Linked DNA regions of Neodiprion lecontei. Each later gene encodes a partner of the first gene's protein in a complex. Links are inferred from orthologs where the notes say so. Each region holds a gene or a part of one and is shown in the gene's direction. Other genes may lie near its edges.

Region 1 (3,755 bases):
CTTGGTAACATGGAAGCCTCCTTAAGCTCGGTAAAGCATTGGAGTAACTCGATGCTCGGATTCCAACCCTTGTTTTGCAAATAAAGCTGCAGCAGCATGTACATTTTCTCAGTGACATATCCAGCCCCGTTCGCTCCCCCCGGATAACCACCTCCAGGAGGTCCCATCTCTGTCTGCATACCCTTAGCCACTATATTTTTCATAGTTTCCGCCAAGTCCATTCTGGAGATAATAATAATAATGATTAAAAACACACATTAGATAATGTGCGATATACGTGGTGCTCGGAATTGTTTGGGACCAAATAACAAGCTATTGTTTACCTCAGAAAATCTGTCAAAATTGCGGAATCAGTGACATTTTATTCCACGGTGCTTTTTTCTCTGTTTTACTTCGTGTTTATTGGTACACGAGAAATTTTGTAGAAAAAAAAATAATCGGTCTGTAGACATGTTTGATATCTGCCACGAATCCCGGGTACGCCGCGAGGCTAACGATATTTATTGCTTTCGGCCATTGTTGTTTTCGGCAAATGCAGAAGCAGCGGGCGGCAGTCAGTCGGTGCCCAGGGAGTGTGAAAAAAACATTAGCCGATTAAGCCGCCGCCCCCCTCCTGTCTGGCTTTATATTATTTCGGTTAACTTACCCCAGCCGGTATCACCGCAGCATTCACAGCACCGTTGTTATCACAAATTTAGGGCCTAATCGCCCCTATACTATCATTTTACAATTAATTAACTACTTTGCATTTGCAAATATAACATAAATCGCAATTATTATATCCGCGAGTATAGCTTGCCCATACACCCGCCAGGGGCGGTTGGTAAATTTTCTACGGTTTGCTCCCTGGAAGCTTTTAGCTTATACGTCACTTCCGCGACGCTCATCAGCGACCAGACGTAACTTCCGTTTTCGATCCCTCCCGCGGTGGAACGACGGTCACCGCCATTTTCATTTCATCTCTCCGAGTCGCCGTGCCGTGTCCACGTTTCGGCTACGCGGTCCCGAAACATTAAATAAAAATCCGCTGACATCGGCGGATTTTTACGAATTCGAAACACCTATCAGGTAAAGTCTTGTTCATCTAATCAGTCTCTCTCTATATCATGTCGTATTTATCTTCCCAAACAACTTCGTAACCCGAGAAATGCATTTTCATCAAAACTACGTATAGGCGCGGCGGTTTTTTTTTTCTACCCGACAGCTTATTCATCGCGATTATTTCTCTTTGCAGCATGGCAGCCTGAAACTTATCTGCGAGCACGAAGCTAACGCTGACAAATTAAACTTCTTATAACGGATTATCAGCCGCATTCACGATGTATCTGTATAATCTAACACTGCAGCGCGCCACCGGCATCACCCATGCCGTCCATGGTAATTTTTCCGGCAGTAAAATGCAAGAGATACTTGTGTCACGCGGCAAGTCGCTCGAGCTGCTTAGGCCCGACCCGAACACTGGAAAAGTTCACACCCTCTTGACCGTCGAGGTTTTTGGCATCGTCAGGTCTCTTATGGCCTTCAGGCTTACGGGGGGCACCAAGGATTACATTGTCGTTGGGTCCGACTCTGGTCGCATTGTCATTCTAGAATATATTCCTGCTAAAAATGCCTTCGACAAGGTGCACCAAGAAACCTTTGGCAAAAGTGGTTGCAGAAGAATTGTACCTGGACAATATCTAGCCATTGATCCAAAAGGAAGAGCAGTTATGATCGGTAATTATGAGAATTTAAATTTTTTACTCAGCTTAACTGTGACCAGTTGTGTGCTAAATGATGCTGATCTTATGATCCGTGTTTCAACTGATTATCCATTGATTACAAACTTACAAACTGATGGTACTATTAAAACTGGTAGTTTTTTTAATTGAATCAATGTAATATAATATTTTCATTTCTGACGGTAAAATTGGCTTTTTCAGGTGCTATCGAGAAGCAGAAACTGGTTTACATATTGAACAGGGATCCAGAAGCCCGTTTAACGATCTCGTCTCCCCTTGAAGCCCACAAAAGCAACACTCTAGTCTATCACACAGTTGGTGTAGATGTTGGATTTGAAAATCCAATGTTTGCCTGCTTGGAAATTGACTATGAGGTGAGATACACATTCCTTGTGATTTATTTGCAAGGGTTGTGAAAGGTAATTAATTTTGCTTTTCGGCTTCCCTGTACAGGAAGCAGACAGTGATCCGACTGGAGACGCAGCTGTTAAAACTCAGCAAACGTTAACCTTATACGAGCTTGATCTTGGATTGAATCACGTAGTGAGAAAGCACAGTGAACCTCTAGAGGAGCATGCAAATTTCCTTGTTTCTGTTCCTGGAGGAAATGATGGTCCCAGCGGTGTCCTTATCTGTTCAGAAAATTACCTAACCTACAAGAATCTTGGGGATCAGCACGATATCCGTTGCCCAATTCCCAGACGTAGAAATGATTTGGACGACCCTGAGCGCGGGATGATCTTCGTCTGCTCAGCAACTCACAAAACCAAGAGCATGTTCTTCTTTCTTGCCCAAACTGAGCAAGGGGATATTTTCAAAATCACCTTGGAAACTGATGAAGATATGGTAACGGAAATAAAACTCAAGTATTTCGACACAGTGCCTGTCGCCACAAGCATGTGTGTCCTGAAAACAGGTTTCTTGTTCGTCGCCTCTGAATTTGGAAATCAGTAAGTCTAATTTTTAGCTGAAACATCACGTGATCTTTTTATCAATCCGTTTATCCAACCAATTACCAGTGGTTTCAACTTTTGATACTGATGATGTTAACCATTTATGGCTATGTCGGTTCAGCTTCCAATTGATCAGACGTGTTTGTAATCGTTATACTTAATTGCAGCTACCTGTACCAGATTGCTCATCTTGGTGACGATGACGACGAACCAGAGTTCAGTTCAGCAATGCCACTTGAAGAAGGTGATACCTTCTTTTTTGCTCCCAGACCACTCAGGAACTTGGTTTTAGTTGATGAAATGGACAGCCTATCACCGATCATGACTTGTCAGGTACCTAAAACTGAAACTACTTTTTCAATATCCAAAATTAGGGAAGCATTTCCAAGTAGGAGATCGAATCATCATTGCACTTTCTCCTGAGTTGTAATGCGATAAAAAAAATTCCTTGTCGCCTTTGTTTTGTACTATTACAAGCCGAAGTGAATCAAGGAATGATAATCACTTGAGATGTTTTACAATCTCGTTATCCGTGTTTTGGGACAGCAAAATAGATCATTTTGCTTGCTTCGTGTATGCAGGTCGCTGATTTGGCCAATGAAGATACTCCTCAACTGTACATGACTTGTGGTAGAGGTCCAAGATCCACGCTGCGAGTTTTGCGTCATGGACTAGAAGTTTCGGAAATGGCAGTCAGTGAGCTGCCTGGAAACCCAAATGCAGTCTGGACAGTGAAACGAAGAGTTGACGGTTAGTTCAAGTTTTATAGTTCAAAAGATAAACAGGAACGTTTTGTTGATCCACTTGCAAGAAGATGCAAGCCTGTCGTAGCCCTGGAAACGTGCAGTGTGTTCGTTTCATTTCATTCATTTGCAAGATTTTTAACGCAGTATTCAAATCCGCTAGCTAGAGTCCGTTTAAAAAGAATATTAACGAACCTGGTGGCTTGATACACTTTTATCAAACACCAGTTCTCTCTTTCAGGCTGCCAGCGAGCTAGTGGTTGACTGATGCAATGCAGAAAGACTAAAAGGTGAGGATCCTATCGATGGGTCTGGGATAAGTCCGACCTGAGAAACAA
Region 2 (3,755 bases), on another chromosome or scaffold:
TCGTCGTCGTCTTCCATTCCGACCCATTCCAAACCCTCTCCTCTCCGCTCAGCTCCGCCCCCTCATCCCGCCGCACCGCCGGCAGCCCTTCCCTTCCCTTCGACGGCTAGTTTCTCACGACGTAACTGAACGACTTCCCCTACCCGCTATAATATCTTGTCAGCCGCCGAGCCTCATCGTCAGAAACTTTCGCTCGCCCCCTTTCCACTACTATCAAACCGCTGAGTAACGAAAAACGATCGTGGTTCGGGAGGCTGTGAGAACTACCCGCACTATCTTTGGATTAATTCTCGAACTTGATCCGTACCAATTGATAAGTTCGAACACTCCTCGAACGCTGTTTGCAACTACATTATTTTTATTCTTCGACAGCTTAGACGCTTCAATGCCTCCGCTGCTTCGCTAACTGAGCACATGTCTGTTGGTAGTCGCTGAATTTCTTGTGTTCAATAGAGCCATAGAAGATTTGTTTACTTCGATGTTTCTCACACAATTTGTGTCAAAATGAGCCTTCTAATATGTATTCGAATTCTCGAAACGTGTCCGATGCGTTGGATGTTTGATAACACTGAATTTTATTCATTGCTGATTCAAATGATTTATCAAATATCAGTCGATGGTGCATTAGAAATGTTGATCAGATGAATTGCTTACCTACAATAGTCGATTGATCAGCGAATTATCTCCTCTGTCGGTAACAATGGTAACGGCACAACTGATATTGGACTGGGCACGTTGCTGGGTGTATTTGATGCGATTCCAAACATATCCTATGAGCACTGAACATTCCCTGCAAGTGAAACAGAATTCACTAATTATAAAAAACATTAGTGCAAAAGAGATAGAAAAATCTGCCAGTGCTGTCAACATCAAAACCAACCACCAGCGATGAGATCTGGATATCACAAGGTTACCAACCAAACAGCTGAACCAAATGACAAGGCTGGTAAAATGGCGTTTTGTTGTTGAAGCTGGTTGAAGCAGAGATGAGTAGGGAGTGAAGTCAAGTCCATGTTATTGACTCGCACGCCGTGAGCTGCTGTGAATTGCGATCATACGACAGCATTTGTAGATGACCGGTTAAACAAACAATTTCTATACAATGATGGATTATTTTGTGACTAATAACTCGTTGGCACCAGCACCCATGGGTATACAAAGTACCGCGGGTGCAGTGCCAGTTAAAAATGACAAAGGTGAGCTGATTTATTATGTGAGACACCTGTTTACTGTACTCCCAATAAGTTGCATACGTTTTAAAGCTTACTTTATTATGAAATTTAGGCATAAAGTTTTGTACAATTGAAGATATGCATTCAATTTTCGTTCAATATTTTCAGGCGAATTGTCGATGAAAAAGGTTAAGGTCCATCGTTATGTGTCCGGCAAACGTCCCGATTATGCGCCTATGGCGAGTTCGGATGAAGAGTCCGAGGATGAAGATTTCATGGAAAAGCGAACACTCAAACCTCTCGAGGAATCAGAGACTGTAACTGATATCCCTGTTCCGTCACACGGTAAACTGAGGGACGAGGATGATCCTAGGCTGAGGCGTTTAACTAGAATCGAGAAGCACAAGGAGGTCGATACAGAAATTCGTGTTGAAAGGCATCGGCACATTCACGAACCTGAGGTATTGGAGACTGAGCCTGAGCGAACGCGCGAAAGGATAAAATTGGAGAGCTCAGATTCCTCGGAGGATGAAGATTTGTCCGATTCTGAAATTGAAAGACGTCGAGACGCATTGAAACAGCGAGTTTTATCTAAGAAGGAAGCTGACCAGGAAATGTTTCATGAAGAAGATGAGGAGAAGCTCCGAACCAACAGCTCCGAAGATAGCTCAGAGTATGAAGAATACACCGATTCTGAGGAAGAAACTGGACCGAGATTGAAACCTGTTTTCGTCCGGAAAAAGGATAGGATCACTGTTATGGAAAAAGAGAAGGAAGCTATGAAACAAAAGCAGGCCGAAATAGAAGCCAAGAAAATGGCAGAGGAAAGAAAAAGGCAGACATTGAGGGTAATCCTTTTGGAAACTGATATTCATTCAATCTTGAATCCTTTCTAAACATGTTTTCACCCCTTATCAAGGTATTAAGGAAAGAGAAACTTTATATGTTGCGATTTCTTTCTTGTTCACTAACGACAAGCTTCACTTACCAACTTTTCGTCCAAGTAGACATTAAACAATCGAGCTAAACTAGACTACACACTTTGAAAATTGTGAATCTTTCGGCTGATGTTGATTTTGGTTATTTTTAGATGGTAGAAGACGCTATACGAAAAGAAACCCAAACTGGCAAGACTATAGTAGATCAGGAAGGAAACATAAATGATGTTTGCACCGACGATGAGAACGACGAAGTGGAATATGAGGCATGGAAACTACGCGAGTTGAAGAGAATAAAACGAGACAGAGAGGAACGAGAACAGTACGTAAACTCAAGAATATTTTCCACTCAAATCATTCTTTTAAAGATATCTTTGGGAATTCGTTTAATTTGAAACTGAAAAAACCATACTGCTAAAAATTTCGAACAAACGGAACATAAAAATGCCTGGGTTTTCAAAAAAGTCTAACTACCAATAAGGTTGAATTTAGTAACATTAACGCGTCGAAATATTGATAAAGAAGTACTATTTTGTAATGTTTAGATGACTAAAGAAGTTTTCGTGAAATACAAGAATGTTTCACCTCATTACGGTTCACTGAATTTTTGACAGTCCCAAAGTTGGGATATTTTTCCTAAATATGCATCGCGACATTATTGTTACAAATTTCAGTCTCATGACTACCACTGTAATCCAACTCAACCCTATATTTTTCTATCCAACAGATTGGAAAAGGAACGGTTAGAGATAGAGCGACTTCGCAATATGACAGAAGAAGAGCGTCGTCAGGAACTGCGTCTAAACCCAAAATTGGTAACGAACAAAGCAGCGAAAGGAAAGTACAAGTTTTTGCAGAAGTACTACCATCGCGGTGCATTCTATTTGGACAAAGACGATACAATTTTCAAACGAGATTTCTCTGGTGCAACGTTGGAAGATCATTTCGACAAAACTATATTGCCGAAAGTAATGCAAGTGAAAAACTTTGGGCGTAGCGGTAGAACCAAGTACACACATTTGGTAGATCAAGACACAACGCAGTTTGATTCACCATGGATTTCTGAGACCGCTCAAAACTTAAAATTCCACAATAACCAAGCTGCTGGAATGAAACAAGTTTTCGATAAACCATCGCTAAAAAAACGAGGCAATGAAAATTGATATGGTGCAGGATGAATTGTGTCTTTACAATGTTGGGAAATGAGACTAGGACCATTTACAAATGTTCAGTTTCACTTTACCTGTTGCGGACAATTCCGTTTGGGTCTTTAAAATTGAGGAACCCACTACGGGAAGGAAGAAATTACTTATTCATAACTCGGGTTATTTTTGTATAACTGATATCAATTTTACTCTTTAATTCATTCAATACAAAAATTTGACAATAATATATTTCTGGTTCACATTTAAAGCCCCAGTCATTCATCATAATTCTGGGTGAAAGATAAGTGTGGTAAAAAGGCGTTGAATAAATTTATAGGCATTTTCATTTTGAAGTAAAAATTACCCACAAAATAACTTTCACCTCGAAAATTATGAGCCAATGAAATTGTGATTTCAAATCATCGGTGACTAACAACTAGTCTGCATGTGTACATACAAAAGCCGATCGTTACTCTGGATATAGACGTAATTCAATACTG
Region 3 (3,755 bases), on another chromosome or scaffold:
TCATCAATTCAAACATCTGTTCAGGAGGTAACGATGCAACTGCTTTGCTTATAGCCTCTGGTGCCTTGTCTGCTTGAACTGCCTCGCCATAAGGATTTTCAGTGTTCTGTCCCTGAAGCAGGCTTTGCATTTCCATCCGACTTTTTTCTGTGCAAGCATTGTCCACTCTCAGTGTCCTTCCACCTATTTCATAGCCATTCAGGTTACGCATTGCGCTAAGCGCTGTCTCTTGATCCTTATACTCGCAAAATCCATATCCTTTCGGCTTTCCAGTTTCTCTGTCAAAAACCAGCCTGAGAAAAAGATACGAAAAGATATACACAAGTTTCAAAATAAATCAATAATAAGTATTTTTCACTATGGAAATAATGAGATGCTAATAAAGTGTTAGATAAATTTAAACTTTTTAATGGATTTTTCCTGCCAATTCCTGTAAAGTAATTGAATTTTTTTTTTTGTTTCACAATAAAAGACTGTTTGAGGTTAGGGTAAAGAACGTTACGGAGCATACTTACTTGAATGAGAGAACTGGTCCAACTTCGCTGAATATGTCCTTTAAATTCTCCTCTGTTGCTTCATACGGAATATTTCCGACTGAAAATTAATTGCAATCGTATTTTTGGGCGACTGAATTATCCGGTTAACAATTCATTGCGTTATAATTCAAAAAAAAGTTAATTCATAATTACCAAAAACACTCCGCATTGATTTATCCATCAGGGATTGATCTGAAATAGTTGAATTACTCATTTTTGCTGTTTTTATTTACGAATTTACAGATTTTGTTTATTGCTCGAATTCGAACGATACATTAACGTTTGTCACCCGAAGGACAGAAGACAGGTGTTTTCATTCGAACGTGATCAACATCAATCAACATGCAACAAGAACACCGTGGGTTATTCAAAACTAAATTGATAATAAACTTGATAATAATATTTCCACGGAACGAAGTCATTGACTAGATATTTAGATAGATACTGATGATTGTCTTCCTAGCGGAATTTTCTGCAACTACTGAAACGCTCGTCTACGTTGTTCCGCACTTAATGCCGCGATATCAAGTGCCTGCCATTCTATTACCGACTGCTATTTAGGGTTAGGATGGTATTAAACTTTTGACCGAAGTAAACATTGTGACAGCAAGTAAATAAATAGTTGTTCGCTCGTAAAAATGTCAATCGAAATTGAATCCGCTGAGTACGTATCTACTCTGTACATAATTAATTATTAGTCCCGATCAAACTACAATATCTTCTTATTTCAGTGTTATACGACTGATTCAACAGTACTTGAAGGAGTCTAATCTTGTAAAAACACTACAAACCTTGCAGGTAATATTAAATTTATTCATAATCCTACGAGGAAATACTCCTTGTTAATTGATCAAACTGTTAATTTAATCCTCTAAATACTTAACCAGGAGGAAACTGGTGTCTCGTTGAATACAGTTGACAGCGTTGACGGATTTGTTACGGATATTAACAATGGACATTGGGATACTGTGCTTAAAGCGACACAGTCCCTCAAATTGCCTGATAAAAAACTCATTGATTTGTACGAACAGGTATTTAACAACTTTCATTGTTTACATATGTTTTCAAAGACGCAGAAAGTCAGGTGAACTGTCAAACTTATAACAGAAATCCGATATCACAAATGTTTATTCACAGGTTGTTTTAGAACTAATTGAACTAAGAGAATTGGGCGCAGCTAGATCTCTGCTGAGGCAAACTGACCCGATGATAATGATGAAGCAGCAGGAACCTGAAAGATACATCCATCTTGGTAAAACAGAATAACTAATACAACTTTCATAACTAGTTTCTTAACTGACAAGCTACAGATGTTTATTTAATTTTCAATTGAATAATTTTTCTCACCTTCCACTTTTCTCCAGAAAATCTTTTGGCACGGTCCTACTTTGACCCAAGGGAAGCATACCCTGATGGAAGTACAAAGGAAAAGCGAAGAGCTCATATAGCAACTGCTTTGGCGGGTGAAGTATCAGTCGTACCATCCAGCAGGCTGCTAGCTTTGCTCGGACAAGCTTTGAAATGGCAGCAGCACCAAGGGCTCTTGCCTCCTGGCACAACCATAGATTTGTTCAGAGGCAAAGCAGCTGTTCGAGATCAGGAAGATGAAAAATACCCAACTCAGTTATCTAAGCAAATTAAGTTTGGGCAAAAGTCACATGTTGAGTGTGCGAGATTTTCACCAGATGGACAATATTTGGTAACAGGCTCCGTCGACGGGTTTATAGAGGTGTGGAACTTTACTACTGGAAAAATACGAAAAGACTTGAAGTACCAGGCACAGGATAACTTCATGATGATGGAACAAGCCGTTTTATCAATGTCATTTAGCCGCGATAGCGAAATGCTTGCCGGTGGTGGCCAAGACGGGAAAATGAAAGTTTGGCGTGTTCAAAGTGGCCAATGCCTCCGCAGATTCGAAAAAGCACATGCCAAAGGTGTCACTTGTCTTCAGTTCAGTAGAGACAACAGTCAGATACTATCCGCATCATTCGACACCACTATAAGGTACGTCATTTTGTAAAAATAGAAATGATAAACTTTGGCAGAATTTCTTTCGCACAACCATTACATTTATTTTCACGTTTGACAATTTTTTGTTGCAGGATACACGGGTTAAAGTCTGGAAAGACATTGAAAGAATTCCGAGGCCATATCTCATTTGTCAATGAAGTAGTTTTCACCCCGGACGGTCACAGCATAATAAGGTGAAAAATTTATGTGACAAAATTAAGTTTTTTCCCAACACATAGTCTGCTTCTTCAAACTGATTGAAAATTAATAAACATTTTTGATCTGCAGTGCTTCCTCAGATGGAACAGTCAAGCTCTGGGGCTTGAAAACAACAGAGTGCATAGGCACATACAAATCTTTGGGAGCTGCAGATCTTACTGTCAACAGTATCCATCCGTTACCTCGCAATCCGGAACATTTTGTCGTTTGTAATCGATCAAACACTGTGGTAATAATGAACATGCAAGGACAAATAGTCAGATCCTTCTCCAGTGGAAAACGAGAAGGTGGAGATTTCGTTTGCGCCTGTGTTAGCCCGCGTGGAGAATTCATATACTGTGTTGGAGAGGATCTCGTTTTGTATTGTTTCTCCACTTCGTCGGGAAAACTTGAGCGAACCCTCAACGTGAGTACAACTAATGTCATTGATTTATTGAAACGAATACCTCGTTTCCTAGAAATTTCAAACGTAAGCCCTGTTATTCGATTTATTTTAATATTAAACTTGCAAGAGATAAAACTATTGTCAATATTGTTTTTCGCAGATCCATGAAAAAGATGTAATCGGGTTAGCTCATCATCCGCATCAAAACTTGCTCTGCTCATACAGTGAAGACGGACTTCTCAAACTGTGGAAACCGTAAATTTTCATATAAACATAAGCATTGTTGAATTGTACGATTACCCTTCTTATGCCGAAGTCAAATAGGCATATTCCAGACACGATATAAACTAACGAGCGGACTCCCCATCAATGCATATTCCATATGTCGACCATGTATTCTACCATTAGGTCATTAAATCATATGTTCTTAAATCTAATGAACAATCGTGTTATAATTTGTTGCGGCAAACTTAGAATTTAGGGAAAACCAGAAAATCGTACTATGAACATCCAAACGCTTAGGAATGTCTTTTAACTCTGATGATGGCTGGCTGGGTCCAGCCGAAAGGTCGCCAAATGAAACATGACAGTTTTATTCCGAT

The links.
Region 2: splicing factor 3B subunit 3 (region 1) and microfibrillar-associated protein 1 share a complex: the UniProt entries of both Homo sapiens proteins name them as parts of the spliceosome B complex. The link is inferred for Neodiprion lecontei from reciprocal best matches to the Homo sapiens genes SF3B3 and MFAP1.
Region 3: splicing factor 3B subunit 3 (region 1) and WD40 repeat-containing protein SMU1 share a complex: the UniProt entries of both Homo sapiens proteins name them as parts of the spliceosome B complex. The link is inferred for Neodiprion lecontei from reciprocal best matches to the Homo sapiens genes SF3B3 and SMU1.

Annotation. Positions count from the first base shown.
Region 1 is NC_060262.1:21,779,439-21,783,193, forward strand, and holds the start of splicing factor 3B subunit 3, read left to right. Parts: upstream 1-918; 5' UTR 919-1,068; intron 1,069-1,234; 5' UTR 1,235-1,319; coding exon 1,320-1,716; intron 1,717-1,922; coding exon 1,923-2,095; intron 2,096-2,174; coding exon 2,175-2,671; intron 2,672-2,841; coding exon 2,842-3,007; intron 3,008-3,255; coding exon 3,256-3,424; intron 3,425-3,755. Other genes in the region: uncharacterized protein LOC107222893, read right to left, coding at 1-221. UniProt on the Homo sapiens protein: Component of the 17S U2 SnRNP complex of the spliceosome, a large ribonucleoprotein complex that removes introns from transcribed pre-mRNAs.
Region 2 is NC_060266.1:18,257,122-18,260,876, forward strand, and holds the start of microfibrillar-associated protein 1, read left to right. Parts: upstream 1-930; 5' UTR 931-1,102; coding exon 1,103-1,196; intron 1,197-1,340; coding exon 1,341-2,020; intron 2,021-2,262; coding exon 2,263-2,432; intron 2,433-2,837; coding exon 2,838-3,273; 3' UTR 3,274-3,755. UniProt on the Homo sapiens protein: Involved in pre-mRNA splicing as a component of the spliceosome.
Region 3 is NC_060260.1:6,244,632-6,248,386, reverse strand, and holds WD40 repeat-containing protein SMU1, read left to right. Parts: upstream 1-1,040; 5' UTR 1,041-1,174; coding exon 1,175-1,200; intron 1,201-1,267; coding exon 1,268-1,334; intron 1,335-1,423; coding exon 1,424-1,567; intron 1,568-1,673; coding exon 1,674-1,788; intron 1,789-1,900; coding exon 1,901-2,543; intron 2,544-2,641; coding exon 2,642-2,743; intron 2,744-2,837; coding exon 2,838-3,174; intron 3,175-3,313; coding exon 3,314-3,412; 3' UTR 3,413-3,590; downstream 3,591-3,755. Other genes in the region: cleavage stimulation factor subunit 2, read right to left, coding at 1-293, 516-594, 690-750. UniProt on the Homo sapiens protein: Involved in pre-mRNA splicing as a component of the spliceosome. Regulates alternative splicing of the HSPG2 pre-mRNA. Required for normal accumulation of IK.